2 linked regions of the Drosophila melanogaster genome follow. The protein of the gene in region 2 interacts with the protein of the main gene of each other region in a pairwise test. Each region holds a gene or a part of one and is shown on either strand. Other genes may lie near its edges. The genes, in order: Sidpn and CG9932.

The links.
Region 1: the proteins of CG9932 (region 2) and Sidpn interact in a two-hybrid assay, tested with the Drosophila melanogaster proteins (one large-scale study listed by BioGRID).

What each region holds. Positions count from the first base shown.
Region 1 is NT_033779.5:19,021,618-19,031,280, reverse strand, and holds Sidpn (uncharacterized protein), read right to left. Parts: upstream 3,572-9,663; 5' UTR 3,225-3,571; coding exon 3,176-3,224; intron 2,481-3,175; coding exon 2,169-2,480; intron 1,981-2,168; coding exon 818-1,980; 3' UTR 501-817; downstream 1-500. Other genes in the region: hook, read left to right, coding at 40-278; CG15172 (uncharacterized protein), read right to left, coding at 7,755-8,102.
Region 2 is NT_033779.5:13,054,421-13,063,302, reverse strand, and holds the start of CG9932 (uncharacterized protein), read left to right. Parts: upstream 1-3,162; 5' UTR 3,163-4,086; intron 4,087-8,882.

The sequences.
Region 1 (9,663 bases), 6.0 Mb from region 2:
AAATATAACAAAAATTTACAATAATTGTTGAAATTTCAGCTCTGGATGCTAGCGTACTGGAAAAGAGTGCTGATCTCGTCGAGGAGGAGCCCAAGCCGAAGATGAGTGTGATGGAGGAGCAACTCATGACCTCCGCTTTCTACAGACTGGGTGTCAATGCCCAGCGTGATGCAATCGACTCTAAGCTGGCAATATTGATGGGCTCTGGCCAGACATTCCTTGCCCGCCAGCGGCAGTCCGCGCCCCGCAAATCCCTAAGTGCAATGAAATCAAAGTAGAAAGCATGAACCTGAAGAGTAGGCTAAGTCTCATTTCTTGTTTGAAAACTTATATAACTAATATATAATACAAGTATTTATTGGACCTCCGCAAGGATCTATATCGTATTTATAGTACATACCTTAATAAAATTGCTAAAATGATTCAATAGAATTACCAAAAACAAGAACGTAATTTTTCCCGTACCCCGACCACTTTCAAAACAGAATTCAAGTTTTTTTGTAAATATTTTTGCTTTATGTATTGAATTAAATACATTTAACGCAGAGTTCAGGGCAAAAACAAATGCATACATAAATGAAAGGGTAGCTCTCCTTGGCTCTGGAACCCATCTTGTAGAGAGTCTTGGGCGTTGGCACAGGTTGGAAATGCAATTTGGAGAGATGCAGGAGCTACACAGACGAGCGGTAATAACAATAGGTGTCATCCTCTACTTGGCGATCAGTGGGGGCAGCAAACCGCCGGCTGCCGGCTGGTTCTCCCCTAACTAACTGGTGGTGTCTACATACTTAGTACGTAGGATCTCTGACCTAACGGCTCACCAGGGTCGCCACATGCTCTCATCTTGCCCAGCTGCTGCTGCAGCAGCTGCCGCCTGGGCCATGTAGTGATACTCCTCCTCCTGGCGTTGCCTTAGAGCCTGACGAGCGGCGTTGCTTGTCTGGGGTCGCGGACTGGTCGCCGGAGCCTCGTTCTCATTGGAACCGATGCCACTCTCGGATCTTGGTGAGGATTGCTGCGTGGCGGGCATGGACTTCAGTTCCGACATCGAGACGCCGGAACTGACAGACGCTGCCACCGAGGCAGGTCTCTCTTGGTGCACCGTTGGCGTTCCGGCACCGGAAGTAGCCATTGCCGCAACTGAGGCTCCTGCTGAAGCGGCCACAGCCATGCTGTTGGCATAAGCCGCTGCTGCGGCAGCGACATGGGCAGCCTCCAAGCCTCCCGGAAAACTGGGACTCAACTTGCCGGCCAAATGTGGTTGAACCCGTTGCAACTCTATCAACCGCTCAAAATCCGTTCGGGTAGCAATCGGATCCACCAGCGGCTGGGCACTAAGGCCAAGGGCCGCTGCCAGCTGGACATAGTGGGGCGGCAGGACCAGGACTCCGTTGGCGGACTCTGGTTGCTGCTGCACGTGCGCCTTAAGCTGTTGCTTGTACTGCTCCAGGACATTGGCGCACACCTTGTTGCGATCCTCCTCGTAGCTCAGCTCGCTGGGAGCGACGGCATCTACATGCGGCGACGTCTGGCCTTGTGTCTGGCTTTGCACCTGTATTGGTATCGGAGTTTGCGCCTGCGCCTGGAGTCCACGATTGTTGTTCTCATCCTGGGGTGCTGGCGTGACGGGCAGCGTCCTCTGCTCAGCGGCTACCATTTTCAGACCCTTGCTGTAGTCCACTGGATTCGAATCCTGGCTGCTGTAGTCCAGCGAATGCTCCTCGGGCTGCGACTTCTTCCCGTGATTCAGGTCGAAGCAACTGCTACTGCTGGGGCTTTCGGCAAACGCGGCCGTCGAATGGGGACAGATCTCCACGTCGATCTCGGCTATGCACTGGTCCAGGTGGCGCAGCAGTCGCGCCTTGGAGCCGGGCTCCGCCAAGGTGGGCATGGTGCCCATGGGCGGCGGTTCCGGGGTGGCCAGGTAACGAGCCACCTCGCGAGCGCAGTCCGTGTAACCAGCTCTGTATTTGTTAACCGCTGAAAGAAAATCAGGATTTGAATGTTATTATCTAAGTTTCAATATAAGAAGTTTGCCTAGGTCCTAAATTTAATGAATTTTATTTTAGATACAGATATGTTCTTCAAGATGTATTTATAAAATTACATTTTGTAGCGAAAATGTAAAGTCATAATACGAAAATTTTTACTTTTATATGGAAACTTACTGGGATCGTCGAGATTGCGATGCCGCTGAAAGTGGCGAACGGTTAGCTCCAGGATGTCCGCCTTCTCCAGCTTGGTGTGCTTCGCCTGGCCCTCGCCGTTCTTGGCATTTTGGGTCTTGGTGGACTCGAGGATGAGGGCCTTCAGGATGGCCAGGCTCTGGTTGATTCGCGCCCGCCGGCGCTTCTCCATGAGTGGTTTGTTTGTCCGCTTGCTGATGTCCTGCGACGAAGTCACATTCTGCGTTGAGCTCACCAGCCCGATGGACTTTATGCCGCTGCCATTAGTTGAGCCGGCGGCGGTGAATCCGATGCCTGGCGGAAATACAGAAGGGTCAATAATTAATACAATTATCGCTATAACCTGAAAGTTTTTTGTAATTTAATCATTTATAAACAAAGTTATCTCGTTCGTTTCAGAACTTTTTGAAGTTGAAATTCTCATGTTCAGTTTTTCAAGTTACATTATTTTGCTTATTATCAATTTTTTGTTGATTCAACGAACTTCGGTTTTAAAATTAAACATCTATATCTATATATCATCAAACTCAAATGAAATTCTTTTGAGTTGAGGTTGCGAGTTCCGAGTTGTGAGCATAATGGAGCTTCATGTTTAGTTTCAAGACACTTTGGTGCTTTTATTTCATTTTGCTTTTTGTTTAAGATTATTATAAAAGTAATCAAAAAAATTTTTTATTGTTTGAAAATTATTTAATTTGATACTTCTTGGCCACAGGTGGCTTTTTCTTTGCAAAAGTATGTTTTCTATTATTTTAACTTTTGTTTAATGGTCACTAAGTAAATATAAATATATTAAACAATGGTGAGCCATGTGGGACGTTTTTTTTTTGTGGAAACTTGTTTTCTATAATTTTGTTTGCCAAATATTTATTAGTCACATTTCACTTTAGAAGTTTAGGACACGTTTAAAAGAGCAGCTTATCATTTTGAACTTCTAAGTCCTATTTTCTGATAGAATTCAACTTATAAAGCACAAACTTGTTTATTACCAGGTGCTGATTTATTTTTTGAGTAATCCTTATCACGTTTTGCTGTCATTTTCTCATTTTTACGAAATCCAAAAGAATTCGTTGCCCGTCGTCAATTAGAATGAAATGCCTCGTTTTCTCAATTTGGCTTGATTTGGGTTTAATATTTTCGAAACTTTCAGTTTAGAATCCACCCGCCAACAATCACGTCTTTTTGGTGGTGGAATCAGGATTCAAATTCCACTCGACGAGGAGGACACGCGTCCGTTCTGTTCGAGGATTCACGGCTAACTGACGGCGAGCAGCGAAACAATTGCGACTTTTCACTTCGTCGCCTGTCGGCTGTCTGGCTGGCAATGGGGTTTTCCGATTTTCCGCTGCCGCGTGCGCTTGGCTTGTGCAAAATTTCCCGACTGAAATGCTTGGTTAGCTCATGTTGCTGCTGCTGCTGCTGCTTTTGCTGTTGGCAGTGGCACGAGCCATCGTCGTGTGGCGCAGCAACCAAAGCAGATTGGAGTCAACCGACAATAAAAGGAACAACAACAAAAACATCAGCGACAGCAGCAGCAACAACAACAATAGCAACAACAACAGCTCTAGCAATCAGCAGGAGCGGCAACAGCAACAAAGCCTGTGGATGTGGCAGCAACAGCAACGCCTGGCTGCCTGCCACGTTAATGGTGGTTGTGGTAATGGTTGCCCCACCGACCTCCACACACATACACAAACACACATAGATTTGGCGAAGAGCTTAACGACGCAGCGGAGGCATGTTGCCAGTGGGCGTTGGGTGGATGGGCCCGTGGGCGGAGGGAGGGGGCTGAGTGTAGCAAGGGGATGAGGGATTGGTGGCGCGCTGGCTGCGGCAAATGTCAGGCAGCCCAAGCGACAAGCCGGATCGACGTGCCGCCATTTGGACGGACGGCGTGACCATGTCTGGCTTTCACACACACACACACACACACACTGGCACACCCTCAGTCACAGACACAGGAACTCACTCATACACAGGCATACAAATCAATTCGCTTAGGCGCAAATATGAAACAACCCAGCACACATGGCGGATGAGGGTTATTTTGGCAGAAAATGCAAAGCATACTTTTCAGGGCATGGTGTAGGCTAACAATTTAATTGATTAACTAAAGCAGGCTAAATGAATAACTTATTATTAGATTGCAAGACTTAATTAGTTTTTATTTTAAGCAAAATATTTATTTGATTCCAAATCATTCATATTACCTTTTTTTCTCGCCACAACAAACTGTCGACCGAAAACGTGCTGCACACTTTGTTCACTGGGTGGACTGCGTCAACGGCGGGTTAGCCGGAGCCGGGATCTGGTACGGGGTTGTGGCCTGCGGGCGACGAAGCAGCTCCTGCTCCTTCGACCGACTGGCTGTGGGTCGTGCGGGGTCAGTGGGGGTGGGATGGCTGAATGGATGGATGGATGAGCGGGCGTGTGGGTGTTTGCTGTCGCTGACTTTGCCATTCGGCTGCCCGCATCGAAATCATAACACCAACGAGGCGAAACTTCTGCGGCGCAGCAGTCGTGGCAAATAATAAGCCAGGCCAGCGGAAAACGGAGGAGGGAGCCAGCGAGGAGCAGGAGCAGGAATGGTAGGAATGGCAGTAGTGGCTGGATCCAGACGAAGACAACTGTGACAGCGGCAGCAGAAAGGACTATTAGATAAATACGATTGCTGGTGCGAGTTTTTGGGGGCGCAATGCCGTGGCAACAAAGTTGATGGCTACAAATTGGCAGGGATGTGGGCGGGCACACATCCACATCAGCGGCGGCTTAACAAGGTGCGCAACGCATTGCAATTCCCGTCGATTTAAACAGTCCAAATGCGGCCAACAACAAGTGCCCCAAACTGCGTGCCATACAATATGGAAATTCCACATTGCTGCAGTGCGCCCACATGTGGCGGGTTCACAGGACTCCGACACTGCGTGTATCCAAAACCAATCGAATTTGTACGTAACATAATGCGTCACAAGGTTGGCAGGATAATCGGAGCTTAGCTCTTTTTACAGACGATGAGTGGCATCACATGGCTGTGCCGCATTGTCGGTATTCATATATCAAGAGCTGGTTACATTATGTGGCAAACTCCAATGATGTGACTTAAAGGGACGACTTAGTGAAAAGTGGTTGGCCAGAATCGTGAGGTATGTACTTATAACCCGAATTCTAGGTAGACAAAGTTCTGGGATTATTTCATCACTAGTTCTGGGAACATGCACTTAAATATTTTGTATAATAGAGCAGGAATCATATACTTCAAAACTTGGTACTCAGAATACTCGTACTATCAGGGCATCTCTTACCAGCCATAATAGCCAAACTCCCTCCTCTTTTCGCTGATTTAATTAAGACAGATTCCGGGAACTGATGCCGCATTGTGGCTACGTAGAATTTCAATTTGCAACGCCTGAACAGAAGTTTCCCCCGCGGCAAGGCAAGGCAAACAACGGTGCTTTTGTGAAATTTTAAGCGCCAATTTGGAAACGGGGGAGCATAATGAGCAATTAGCAGCCGCATCTTAAAGCTGGCGAAGGCCAGAGCCTCACCCAGTGACGCCTAGTGTGGCTCTCCTGTGGGTCGTTGGCACTCGTCAGGTGGCGTTTTTATGCGGCCTGGCCAGGTGCAATCAGTGTGGAAAGCACAAACATGGCCGGGGCGCGGGAAGTGCTCTCCAAGCTACGCACAACGGATCTGGGGGGATAATGCCGAGGATGGCGAGAATATATGTGCGTGGAATGAGGACTGGCAACCCAATCCACTTGGCGCATGTTGCCAGCTGCCATTGCCGCCAGCCAAATTACTGAACTGAACCAAACTGAACGATGACTTGAATGCTGCCCTCGCGGCCTGGGAAGCTTGCGTTGGTTGGGATCCGGAGGCGGGTGGCTCCGTGGGTGGCTCCGTGGGTGGCTCGGTGGTTCAGTGGGTCTGGGCCAGTCATGTGGTGCTGGCACACACATAAATCGTTTATAGCCACACCGAGAGCAGGCAGTCCGCCACCAGCGTCATCATCGTCATCGCTAAAAGCCCTGCCACGACCCTGGGTCTGGGCTCCAGTTGTACGGCTTTGGCTCTCCGGCTTTTCCACTTCCTCCACTTCTCGCAACCCCACTAGCCGCCTCACTTGCTGCCGATGTTTCTGGTCGACTTGACAGGCCGCCCCATTGCCACTGCCACGTCCCCAGAGCCAACCCCCTCCCCCCTCTCGGATAACCTACAGCCCACCCTCTGCCCTCCACAACCCACATCCCACTCAGACGTGCGGGAGAAGTGGCATTGTAACAGCCGGCAGCAGGCCACATGCAACCTTCGGCCACGGATCGCTGACTGAGGGAAATACCCAACCCGCGATAGAAAGCTACACTGAAACAAAAGCAAGCTATGATTTACTTTAAGCATGTATCTTGAAGTTGGACCCAAGGAAATAACTATATAGCGTATTATAACTTAATAATCAATAGTTTTGCTATAATCACAAGTTATGTTTGTTTTATCTGAAATTCAATTGGAGTTAGTTTTCGAATCAGAGTTATGCTAAAGCAGAAATATTTTAAATATTTTTCCCATAATAACTACTTTATTAATATAATGAACATGCCCTTAAAGAAAAATTTGCTTCTGTGCATTCCCTGCGACTGGTAGTCGGAGTCAAAGGTATAAAAGGCAAGTTAAGCGCAGACAGCAGTGGCAACCGGAGCCCGGCGAAAGGGGAACGGATGAAGGGCGGAAGGACAAGGGAGCGGTGGCAGTGGCAGGAGCAGGCTGGAGACGGATCTCGTGCTCAGTACCGGCAGCGAGAACAACAATAACAATGCGAAAAGGTATTGGTGGCAAAACAGAACTGAAAATCAAACTGCGGGGGAAAAAGGACCAAAGGACTCGCTCGCACACAGACAATCGCACTGGCGCACCAGTGAAGGGAAAGCCCCACAGGAAAAGCTTCGGAAGTGCGCTCCATGCCGCAATGGCAACGGAAGCAGCACAGGACAGGACAGGACAGCCAGAACGAACGAGCGGTGCGGTGGGCGGGTTGGTTTGCTGGTTCGGTGGCGGTTGGGGAAGGCAGTTTGTCAAGTGGCGGAGGGGAAAAGGACACGAGGCGTAGCATGAGCTGGTGGCAGAGGGCCATGACACGACCTGCTCCTGCCGTTGTGTCGGCTAAAGAGAGAAAAATGACTAAATCAAAAGGAAGTGCGCCACACTGTGCGGTGTAAGAGCACGTACAATACGCCGCACTATGGGTAATTTCACCTGTTTTATTGGCATAAATAAATATATCGTTATCTATTTCTTGTTTAGATTTGATAAGCTGGCTCATTTCACTGGACAAACGGCCAGCCGGTTCCAGTGTTTTAGGCAGGACAACAAGCGCGACAAACGCGCATTAAATTCCTTGCTAGTACCACTGACTACCAAATTGTAATTAAAATAAAAATGAAAAATAATTTTATGCTGAATTTACTCTTTTTTATTGTCGAACAATTAGTGGCTACGTTTTACTTTCATTTACTCGACCACTTGGCAGACATTAGACGAAAGACATAATTTCACTTTTTAATTGAATGTGGTCTAATGATGACGATCCATCCCGATGCTGATCTGCTCGGAGTCACTATCCAGACTGGATTCGCAGGTCTCCTCGCCGGATGATTCAGTGTCTGTGAAGATCGATATTGAAAGCTGCTCCTGGAATAACTCATCAAAGTTTGCTAGCATATCGTCGTCTGGCTGTTCCGGTGGCGGGTAGTTGGGCAAAACCTGGCGAAATACGTTGTAGCGATCCCGCAACTCGTCACTCACTTCCTCCGGACGACGCTCCTGGTTCTGGAGTTGCTGCAGCAAAGAGAACAGATGGACCCGGTTTGCAATGCTGCAATCGGGTAGCAGATTGCTCACTCCCAGTACATTAAAACACATGGTGTTCAAGGTGTCAGTCCTTTTCCAATGTCGATAACTCTGTGGTTTGAAATCTTTAAATAGTTACAAAATTTGAAAGCAGCTGTACCAACCAATTCGAAAAATTACGAAAGTGAGCTCTTTATTTTGAAGGTAAATGCAGTGCATATATGTATATATTTTATACCCGTTGCTCGTAGATTTCGTTACTGTAAATTTTTATTGCGATTTGCGAAAAAACTTTTTGTCACTCCCATTTTAAAGCAGTCCAAAACTGCCACTCCCGCACTTTTGAAAAGTGTTTAGATTTTTCTTCGTTTTATTATTTGTATCGCCAATTTTGATCTGTATACCGAAAACACGGTATCCACGCCCCTCCTTTAACCTACAAAACGACCAAGCCGGTCGCGCCCCCACTTTTGAACAATTTCAAAAAAGATATCCCAGAAAACTTATGAAATTTCTCGTTTGCATTCACACTAGATAGAGTAACGGGTATCTGATAGTCGGGAAACTTGACTATAGTATTTTCTCTTGTTTTTAACTATATTAAAAGTTGAAATTTTATTCTAGAAGTTGGTCGAGGACATCACTTGATTAATACACAAATTGTTATTTAAGTTTACACGCCCAAAATAAGCAACATATTAGTAAAAACACATAGTACACACCTGAGGAATGAGAATTCAATTCAAATTTGATTTGTTAAGGCCTTGTGGTTGAAAATATGTACATACATATATGAATTTAAGTAATCACTACAAAAGGAAAATCACCGACGCCACGTGCTTTATATTTACAAAAGCTGATTTTACAGCTGTTATTTTGTAACATTGGACTGTTAATTTTACATTTGCGTTACATAACATAACCCCTAATCCGTCGAGAAAAACAATTATAAATGATTTCAAAATTTTACAAAATAACATTTTTGCCAACAAATCAGGTGAAATTCCCCACAGTGCTCCACTCCGCCTTTATTGGAGCTCCTCTGCGTGTGTTCAAGTGCGAGTATCTGGGTGGGTGTCTGTGTGTATGTGTGCTGGCGCGTGCTTCGAAGAACGAAAGCATGATGGCTCGAAACAACCGACAAATCCGTCCAGATCGAACTTAATATAACAGTCGCAAAAGTTCGGCGCTATTGATATTTCCAGATATATTTTAAAATACATTTATTTAAAAATACTTTGAATTCTAGCATGATTGAGGGTAGGACACACATAAAACCAATTTGAAAGCTATTAGCACTGAATTTATCAGTGTAATGAATTTATGTAATGTACCGAAGTATGTACCTGAGGTACCGAAGGTGGTTAAATAGCTTTAACGTCTGAAGGATAGCACTTCCGAAAACTTTGTCGGCTGCGCAAAGGCATGGCCACAATATGGTAAAGGCCGTACGAAGAAGGGGAAGGGGGGGGAGAGCACGAGGGGCGCAAACAGAGCAGGGAGCAGTGGTGTGAAAAAAATTGAAATTTGCGTGAGTGCTCCAACTGCGGCACTAGATAGGATGGTGGCACGGGCGGGGTACGGCATGGCATGGCATGGCAGGGCATAGGGGCATGGCTTGGTTTGGTTTGGC
Region 2 (8,882 bases):
AACTTGTGACACACAGAAAAGTGCGATATATAGCCTAGGGCGGGGGATGCGCCGCAGCGCGGGGGCGTGGCTGATTGGTCCGCTTCTGCTGATGGGTGCGGTCCAAAACATTTGGCTCGCTTTACCCCTTTTTATTATCGTTGGGCTCTTATTTATTTTGCGGTCAGTGTTTTTGCATTTACCTTTTTGTGTTTTTTTGCTCTTTTTCCTGTTTTATCGTCGTGTCTTTTTGGAGTTAAAAAATCAAAATGTATGTTTCATGTTTCATGTTCCCCATTGGCACTTTCATGGGCATTCCTAATGCTCAGGGGATATATGGGGTATTTACGTTTTGCAGCTCGACATGTAAACTTTTATTAAATCATTTTCAAATGCTTTCGTTTCATAGTTCAGCTCGATATTATATTAATGGATCTAGCATTTACCAGACTTGAGCTTTTTAAAATTTATATTATTAAAATCTACCCTCTTCCTTTTACATAAAAAAAGGTGTTTATTATAGAGAGTATCCCACTTCTCGAGACTCTCTAATGCTCAATTGATATCTTGTTGTTGGCTTGTCCTTTGGCTACCTGCCTGATCCGCTCACCTTTCCGTTCAGGGGGAGTCCTCTTCGCCTCCACAGCACCTCGATGTCATTGTCACCCCTCGACTTTAATGCGCTTTGGCATGCTTTTAGGCAATAATTCATGGATTAACGCCATTTGGCTTAAGCTCGTTTCTTTGGCTGCTTTTAGCGCAGAGTTTTTGATATTTGGAGCCTCGCCTTCACCTTTTCGTTGGTGCCTTCGCCATCGCCAACGCCACTCGGGATTTGGGATTCGCATTCCTTGGAAGTGACTAATAAACCTTTGGTACCCATCCCCATCTTCCGACTCTCTAATGATCTTGCTCATTTTTGGCCACAAAACAGAGTTTCGTGTGTAGCGATTTGTTGACCACAACAAATTGCATTCGCCCATAGCCTCATAAATAACATTTGCAAGGGTCCCCGTGTATACATATATGTCCTTGTGCCTGGACAAGCTGAGTGACTGACTCCGAGGACTGACTGAGAGCACGTGCTAAGTGCCGAGGCGGTCATTTATCAAATCGGGAGGAGCGGGACGTATTGGTTCGCCTTGATTTATGCCTTAGAATATTATTTTTGATATTTAGAATTCCTTCGACTGCAGTCTGTGTTCGTGCTGATTCTTGGCAAATTTCGTGTGGCATCTTGTATCCTTTATCCTTGCGCCTGATACGAAAGCATTTCGCATGAAATTCAATCGGACCGGAGAGCATCCGCTTCTGTGTCCTGTCCTCCACTTGTTTTAGCCATTTCAATTCCCAGGCGGCAGAATATTTTGCGCTCGCTTTGTTTCTGCCAAGGCATGCAAAATTTTCGGATGACTGTTGAGTTTAAGGAGAACTCGAGGGAGAAATGGTAAAACGAGCAAAAAGATGCTTGAAACGGGTTGAGTCAGGATATGGGCCAAAAGGATGTGAAAGCAAAAACGAAAGACAAGCAGGCGGATGAAAGTTTTAAGCCAGGATGCATATTTAAAGACCAACTTCTTTTTTGCTAGGATATTCACAATATTATCCACACAATGCCTAATAATAAGATTGAAGCTGGATGCACTTAAATATTTAAGTTTGACATTTCCAAAGAATTCACATTGGTGTCTTGGTATTGATTTTATAAGTCTATGGTTTTTAATATGAATAAGGATTATTAGCTTGCAGTGAACTTGACTGTTTGGCAAAATAAAAAGAATTTCTTTTAAAACTAAAAAATATTTCCGCAAAGTTATAATGCTGGAAATTTTAAACAAAAGGAGTCCAAAGAGAGAGCCTGGTTAAGGAAACCTCATTGAGTAGCAGATGGCCATCATTGTTTGGGGAGAAGGGGACAACACCGAGGGGGTGGCGACTAGAAACTGTCTTGCGGGTGACTGAGGCTCCCAAGTGGCATTGGCAGCAGCCCATCGCCATTCCCATCTTGCGCAACTTCTTCTTCTTCTTTTCTTCAACTTCCGTTGCCTGAATTTCCGGCCATGGCTATTTCATTGTTTTTACCGCTACTTTTCCCGCGTCCTCGACTGGCACTTTCCATTTAGCTGAAACTTGATTCGCATTCAGGGCATTTAATAAGCGCTTATTGTGCTTAAGCCTCATTGTTGTCCGTTCATAGTTATTTGTGTTGTTCGGTTAATACTTTCAGTGACTTTAATGACCGGGAAGAAACAATCGGGCCCAAGCAAATGGCAAACTTTGCGAGACTTATCCGTAAATTAAACTTGGAAAACAACCAAGTTTTGATTGGACGGTGGGGAGCTCTAGCAGTGATTCGTTTAATAAGTTCCAGTCCTACCCACCACGTCTAATTGTTCTAAAAAACAATAATAAAAACATAAATATAAATTTTGATTGAATTAGAATTGGAAAATTCCGACATCTGACTGATTCATAGCCATGTTTTTACTTGTTACACATACTGAATCAGGATTTTGGGAATTTTTAAAGCGTTATTATCAAAACAATTCATATAGTAAAAAAAAGGGCGATTTTCCGAGTATGCAATGTTCTTTCATTCCCGATAAAGGGGAAAGTGGTTGGGGCTGTGATGCTATTCTGTGGCTTCTTTGGGCAATTAGATTGGGCATTTAGCCATGAAATTTGCGAACATATGGCTTCTATCAGGCAAGAACAACAAACGGCCGGTGCTAACAGAGCGGCTAACAGTGGGCGGTTAGCAGAGCGGTGAGCTGTTGGGTGTGCGGTTGGGAGGTGGTGGTGCTGTTTGGAAACTGCACTGTGGGGCTTGGCTTGGCGCTCTTTCCTCGTTCGCTTGCTCTCGCGCTCTCGGACTGTCTCTTTCGCATGCCCCCCACCAACCAGTTGTTCGTGCGACTTCGGCTGGCGCTCGGCTTTCGCTTCGGCAGTGTTACAGCAGAGCATCTGCGTTCTTCAACATTCTTCAACACAACAGCACCAGCAGCAGCAACCGCGGATGCTCCTGCTCCCCTTCGCTTCTTCTTCGCTCTCTTAAGCGTGGAGCTCTCTTGTCCGCTCCGCTCGGCTCTCTGGTTCGGTTCTTATGGTTTGTGCCACCGACTGGTTGGCGTTGGCTGGTTGGTTGGCTGTCGCTCTGCAGCTGCGTTCGTGCGCTTTTTGAAAATAGTTACAAGATGTTCATCGAAGTGAGTGGAACGCCGCAGCGGTTAAACGTGGACTCTTGAGCAGCCGAAGAAGCTCGCTTCCGAAATCGCTAAACTGAAGCACAATCGCGTTCTTTGAGTGGAAACGCCAGCACAAATAAGAAACAGCCCCAATCAAAGTCAAATCAAAACAACACTAATTCATCTCTGCGACTGGAAATCAATATTCCAATTCTTCAAGCCAAATAAATAGAAAACAAAATCCCAGTGAAGCAAGAAGTGCATTCGATTTTCCTGCTCGTGGAGCTATTGTTATTTTTAAATCGCTGACCGCAGAATATTTCTACTGCTTAAAATAGACGGCAACATACAAAAAAGTGATGCCGCCAAAACAGAAATAAACCGAAAACCAAAAGGGTAAAAACTCGAAAGTGCCAAAAAAAAAACAAATAAAACAAGAATTTCACTTCGAAAAAGTGCGTGTTCTAAAAATATAGCAACAAATACAAAACCGCAACAAAGAAGTAGCAAATGGGATTATTTTGCTGCCCAACTCAACACAAAACTGCATTTTGTTGAATTGTATATTCAATCTGGAAAAGCAAAGTGTCAAAGTGTAGTGCAAAAATATTTATAAATCTCTGCCAAAACATAAACAACCGACGAAACGAGAGAAGCGTATTCTACTCACATTTCGTGCATTTTATACAGATTTTCGTTTTTTTGGAATACAAAATAAACAGAAGTACAAGAGGCGGAATCCATTAGTTCCGCATTAAAGTGTTAAAATAAATTAAGTCTTGGATACTCCGTAAACTTTGCATTTTGGAATACTTCAGCAGCATTTTGGATATCCGTGCTAGTGAATTTGATATATATTTAAATATACATATTATTCGTTGCCGATCGATCTGGAGGGCATAAGGAAATAATTTCACAAAAGGTTGGTAAACAACTAATGTTTGTGATCTCTGTGATTGTTGAGTAATAGATTGTAGCTGACATAAAGAAAACCATTTATTGCCGTCGCAAAATATTTATATTATGCACACGTCGTTAAGCATACGACAGGTTGGCCAATGTAAGAATACGCTTGTGAACAAGCAAAAGGCCATGAGAAAAGTGCAAACAAGAAATATTGGCGTTTGCTTCTTTACACAATATTAAGTAAAAATATTGAAATATTGAGTAAAAATTAAGTCAGTGAAATTGAATGTTTTGGAACGTAAGTGTATGCAGGTCGATGTTTAATGTTCAAAGTGGTCAACATTTATTCATAAAATTAAAAATATAATTTTTGTTTGTTTCTCATTTATTTTAAATTATTTTAGATTAGATTGAGGTCGTTGAGTGATAAGTAAACAAAAATTCAGTGTATTGTTTTGACGTCATTTTCTGGAAAAATCCCAAAATGTCATATTACAAAGAATTGTCTGTAAGTCAACTAGAACATAAGCCCATAAGGTTTTAGAATCAGACTTGTTTGAAAAAACCTGGTCAACTGATTTTAATTGGAATAAACATAGCCAGCTGGTGGTTGGGTAATTGAAAAAGCCCAGCAGACTTTCCCAAGAAAACGAATCCATTTCGAACAGACCACAACACCTGGACACCGCCAAGTGCGAGATCTTTACAAAGAATAATATATCAGCCCCCCTCCCTTTACAAAGAAATAAGACGAAGCACTGTAAACAAAAGTCGCCAAGTGCATATCTCATTACCAGACCAAGGATCATCGTCCAAACAAAAGAAAGCATTGCGAGAAAGAACAACAAGTGTAGGCAGAACAAAAAGACAAAACTTTTCTCATTATCAACGCAAGTGTTTTCTGCACTCCCACATTTTCGCTGTATTTTTTTTTTACAATTTCCTTATAAGTGAAAGTGTCAGTCAGGGCCATGAATATGGCCACCGGGCAGCTGGTCAGTCTCAGTTCTCAATTCTCGGATGGCAAATCCCACTTCTGCCACCGGAATCAACGTCACACATAAAACTGTGGAAGAAAAGATATTATAGAACGAGGGACATTTTTTACATCTGTCATAAATTTTGCTGCACACGGGCATAAATCTATTTTCTGCATTTTATTTGTTTATTTAAAAATTCTTGTGCACAAGGAGAAGAAAAGAAAGACGAGAGCCATAATTTGCAGTCTGATTGATGTGACAATTCCTTAATTAATTTTTGGTTGGAAATACGCCTTATATATGGCTGGCATTTAATTAGCAAATCTGTTTTTGGGAGAGGTAATACATCAGGGCAAATGATGTGATGCGAGTGCAGCAGAGAAATGAGTTTATTCACATCGCCGAATCTATTATCTGGCTCGTTTACCTTCGCGCCGCCAGGTAATTGAACCCTACTCTTGTCCTGCGATGCCCTTCCTTCTTAGATACACATCTGTATATCGTTCCCACGATTTGTCAATCAATCTTTCACTTTCGCTTCCCTAACCATAGCATTTTTGGCAATTATTTTAGAGGCAGTGCCCCGAAAATTATTGGGTAAAGCAAATAATGCGCGCTCCTGATAAGAACCGCTTGCTTCTGTGGAGATCGAGTTCAGTGACTTAACTTATCACTGCTTGCTGAAACTTTTTGGCTCAACATTCTTCGTTCTTCGTTCAGCGTTCTTCGGGCTTCTTGTTTCTTTTCTGCTGATAAGAATGGCTGAGGCTGAGCTGCCGAAGAAACCGAAGCCACAGCCAATGTGATTACATTGCATTTTAAGTTGTCCAGCAACACGAGAGATTCCCAGATTGGATGGTGACGAATGCATGGCTCATATATGAAATTCTTCAAGGTATATTAAAATATCATCCAAGGAATGTTACAAAGTTAGTACAAAAGTTAATATAATAATCATTTATTATTATTTAATTGGCTAGGCTGACGGATTTATTGGCGAAAATTGCGGTCCAATGGCGACAGCTACAGCCTTTGAAGAACTGCCACTCCATGTCAGGCAATAGTCAACAAATATTTTCCTTCCATAAACATTGTTAAGAATGCAGAATGCATTACACTCTGGCCGCGCCACCCCCTCGATGGCCACCCAATTAGCTTTGGCTACTTGTGCAGTAAATAAGCCAGAAAAAAATATACAAGATGCTGCTGGCTGCTGCTGCAAAAATACAAAAAAAAAATGGAAAATGAAAAGCTGGCAATAGAGGAAAATATTTTCTGCGCCATATTTTGCAGCCAACGCACATAAATAAGCTCTAGACCAAGAAGCCAAAAAGGCAACAGAATGGGCGTACCAAAACTTGGTCGCATTGTTGCTGCTGCCACTGCCGCTCTGTTATGGTTGGCAACTGGCCAAAAAGACATGGCCAAATGTGCGCCAGTTCTCGCTGCTCAGCCCATCGTCCAAAATTTCAGCCTCCCAATCATCCCTTCTCGGCCAATTTCTGTTGTCGGCTGGCTAATAAATAATTTTAATTGTATTTCTTTTAGCTGTACTCTTCTATTTGGCTGGCCCACTTCTTTTGGTAATAAAAAGATTTCCATTGTTGCACTAGTTGGTCTGCGGGAAATGGCTAAAAAGGAACGTGATCAACAGCAAATTGAGTTCGCCTTTATGACTTGGCCAATTTGCACAGTATGTGTGTCTTATCAGGCTGCAGCGACAGCATTGAGGTTGGCCAGGTTTTCCCTTATTTTCCATCTCTTTTTTTTTATATATTTTTTGTTTGCACTTTTTCTGTGCCATCTACTGGTTGGTGCCTCCTCCAATCTTTGGTCGACAAATATGTCGAGTGCTTGACTTGGGCAAACTTTGTCACTGATAAGACTGTTGAACACCCCTGATCAACCGTCCTTCTGCTCATGTTCAAAACTCTTCAGTTTTATGCTCGCAACACCGTAAAAAGTTTTTGAACTATTAGAATATTTAAAAAAAAAGTACAACCAACATCTATTAGTCTCCTTCAATGGGTGACTATCACTTAACTTTCATGTCTTCTTTAGATATATCACTTTCTCCCCAATGAACGCCCAACTATGCGCTAGTTTTTCTCAGTGTAACAAACAGAACCATAATAACCATACGCCACGTTGCACTGAAACTTAAATGAAATGAAACGAAAGTTGTCTTGGTTGTGTGTTTTCTTGGCGACTTGGTCACGTCTTCAATGCACTTTGCTATGTGGTAGGGGTGAAGCGGGGTGGTTCGATGGTGTGCAACGACATTTATTCTGACTGGTTATTGGTGTTGTTGCTGCTGCAGTGGCAGAAGCAGAATCAGTTGGTCCCTGCACAAGTATCTATATCTACTATATGCTCGGATACGAGTATAGTATCAACGTATAAGACACACCCACACACTGGGGCGATGAGTTTTATAGGCGCTTTCAATACTGGGCCAAGGTAGTTTTTATCTTTTTACTTTGCCATTTCATTGTTGATGTGATGGCTGTTGTTGTTATTGTTGCTGGCTCGTCTGGCAGCTTTGGCAGATTTTTGTTGCTGCCTTTTGTAATTGCAATTTGCAATCCTTGAACAATTTGTTTTTTTCTCTTTTCTCTGCCGATTTGCTCTCATTGCCTGCTGTCTCTTTAATTTTGCATTACTCATCTGCTTAATGCTATTTATTTATTTTTCCTTTGCCAGATGCGAGGAAATTGTGCAGAAATAGCACGTGCCGGTGGCAACATTTTCCAAAAATATAACAACATTTAAGCACACACAGAAATTAAGAAAAAATCTTTGAAATCCAAGCTTTGTGTTCTACCTCCTTTCAATCGAACCAGAAAATCTCATATATACAATGATTTCAAATATTCACAAATTGAGAGAAGCTCTTTTGCATTCGAATTTCGATTTTCTATCCATTTGGTTTGTTAGTTTTATGTGTGTTTTCGATTTTTCAATGACGTCTGGCAGAAATTTTCCATTGCAACGAGACAATTGGCAGCCAAGTCAAGTCAAATGAATGCAATTGGCACACACACAGGGGCAGCACGGTCTCTCACCCCTTTTGGAAAAGCCCGCCACCACGCCCCTGCACTTGTGTATCTCTTATTCGATCAACCTTCCTTTCTTGGCTTGACTCTTTCGGTTCGTTTTTCAAACAATGCCAAGCTGTCAAAGCTATTGATTTGAGTGTGCGACTTATGTTTGCCATGTGAACGCCTTTGAGCGCCCACTCACGCCCACATTTGGCCGCCCCCTTTTTGCCCCATCATCTCGGTGTCCTTCTCTCTTGTCTGCGTGTTGCAATCAATGAGTTTTCCTTGGCAAGCGCTTTTCTTCTGCGCTTTTGTCCTTCAGGCTTTTTACTCGTTTTGATCCGTCCTTTCACTTCTTCTTTTACCGCCTCTCTTCACACTCCATCCCGCGTTTTCCTGGCTTTTCCACCCTTTCTTCAGCCCTATTTGTACCAACACACACATGTGACTGCATCTAAAGGCAAAACTGCAGAGCGAGCAGAAAAAAAAGCAGCAGAAAAAAAGTGAAGTAAGGGAAGTGAACATTTTCCACTGCACAAACTTTGTTGCCAAGCTTGTTTTACTTAAATTGTATTTGTACAAGGCTTCAACACTGCCACTTTTCACCCAAACTTCCCGGAATATTGCCTTTTTGAGCGCCTGAAAAAGTGCCAGCTTGTAGTTTGTGCCTGCCGGTTAGTTGGTCTAACTTTTCGCCTTTTGCCTGAACCAATTTCGAACGGAGGAGAAACATTGCAAAAATCAGAGATTTCTTAGTCATATACACCAAAAGCAAGCTGCTCCATATGTAT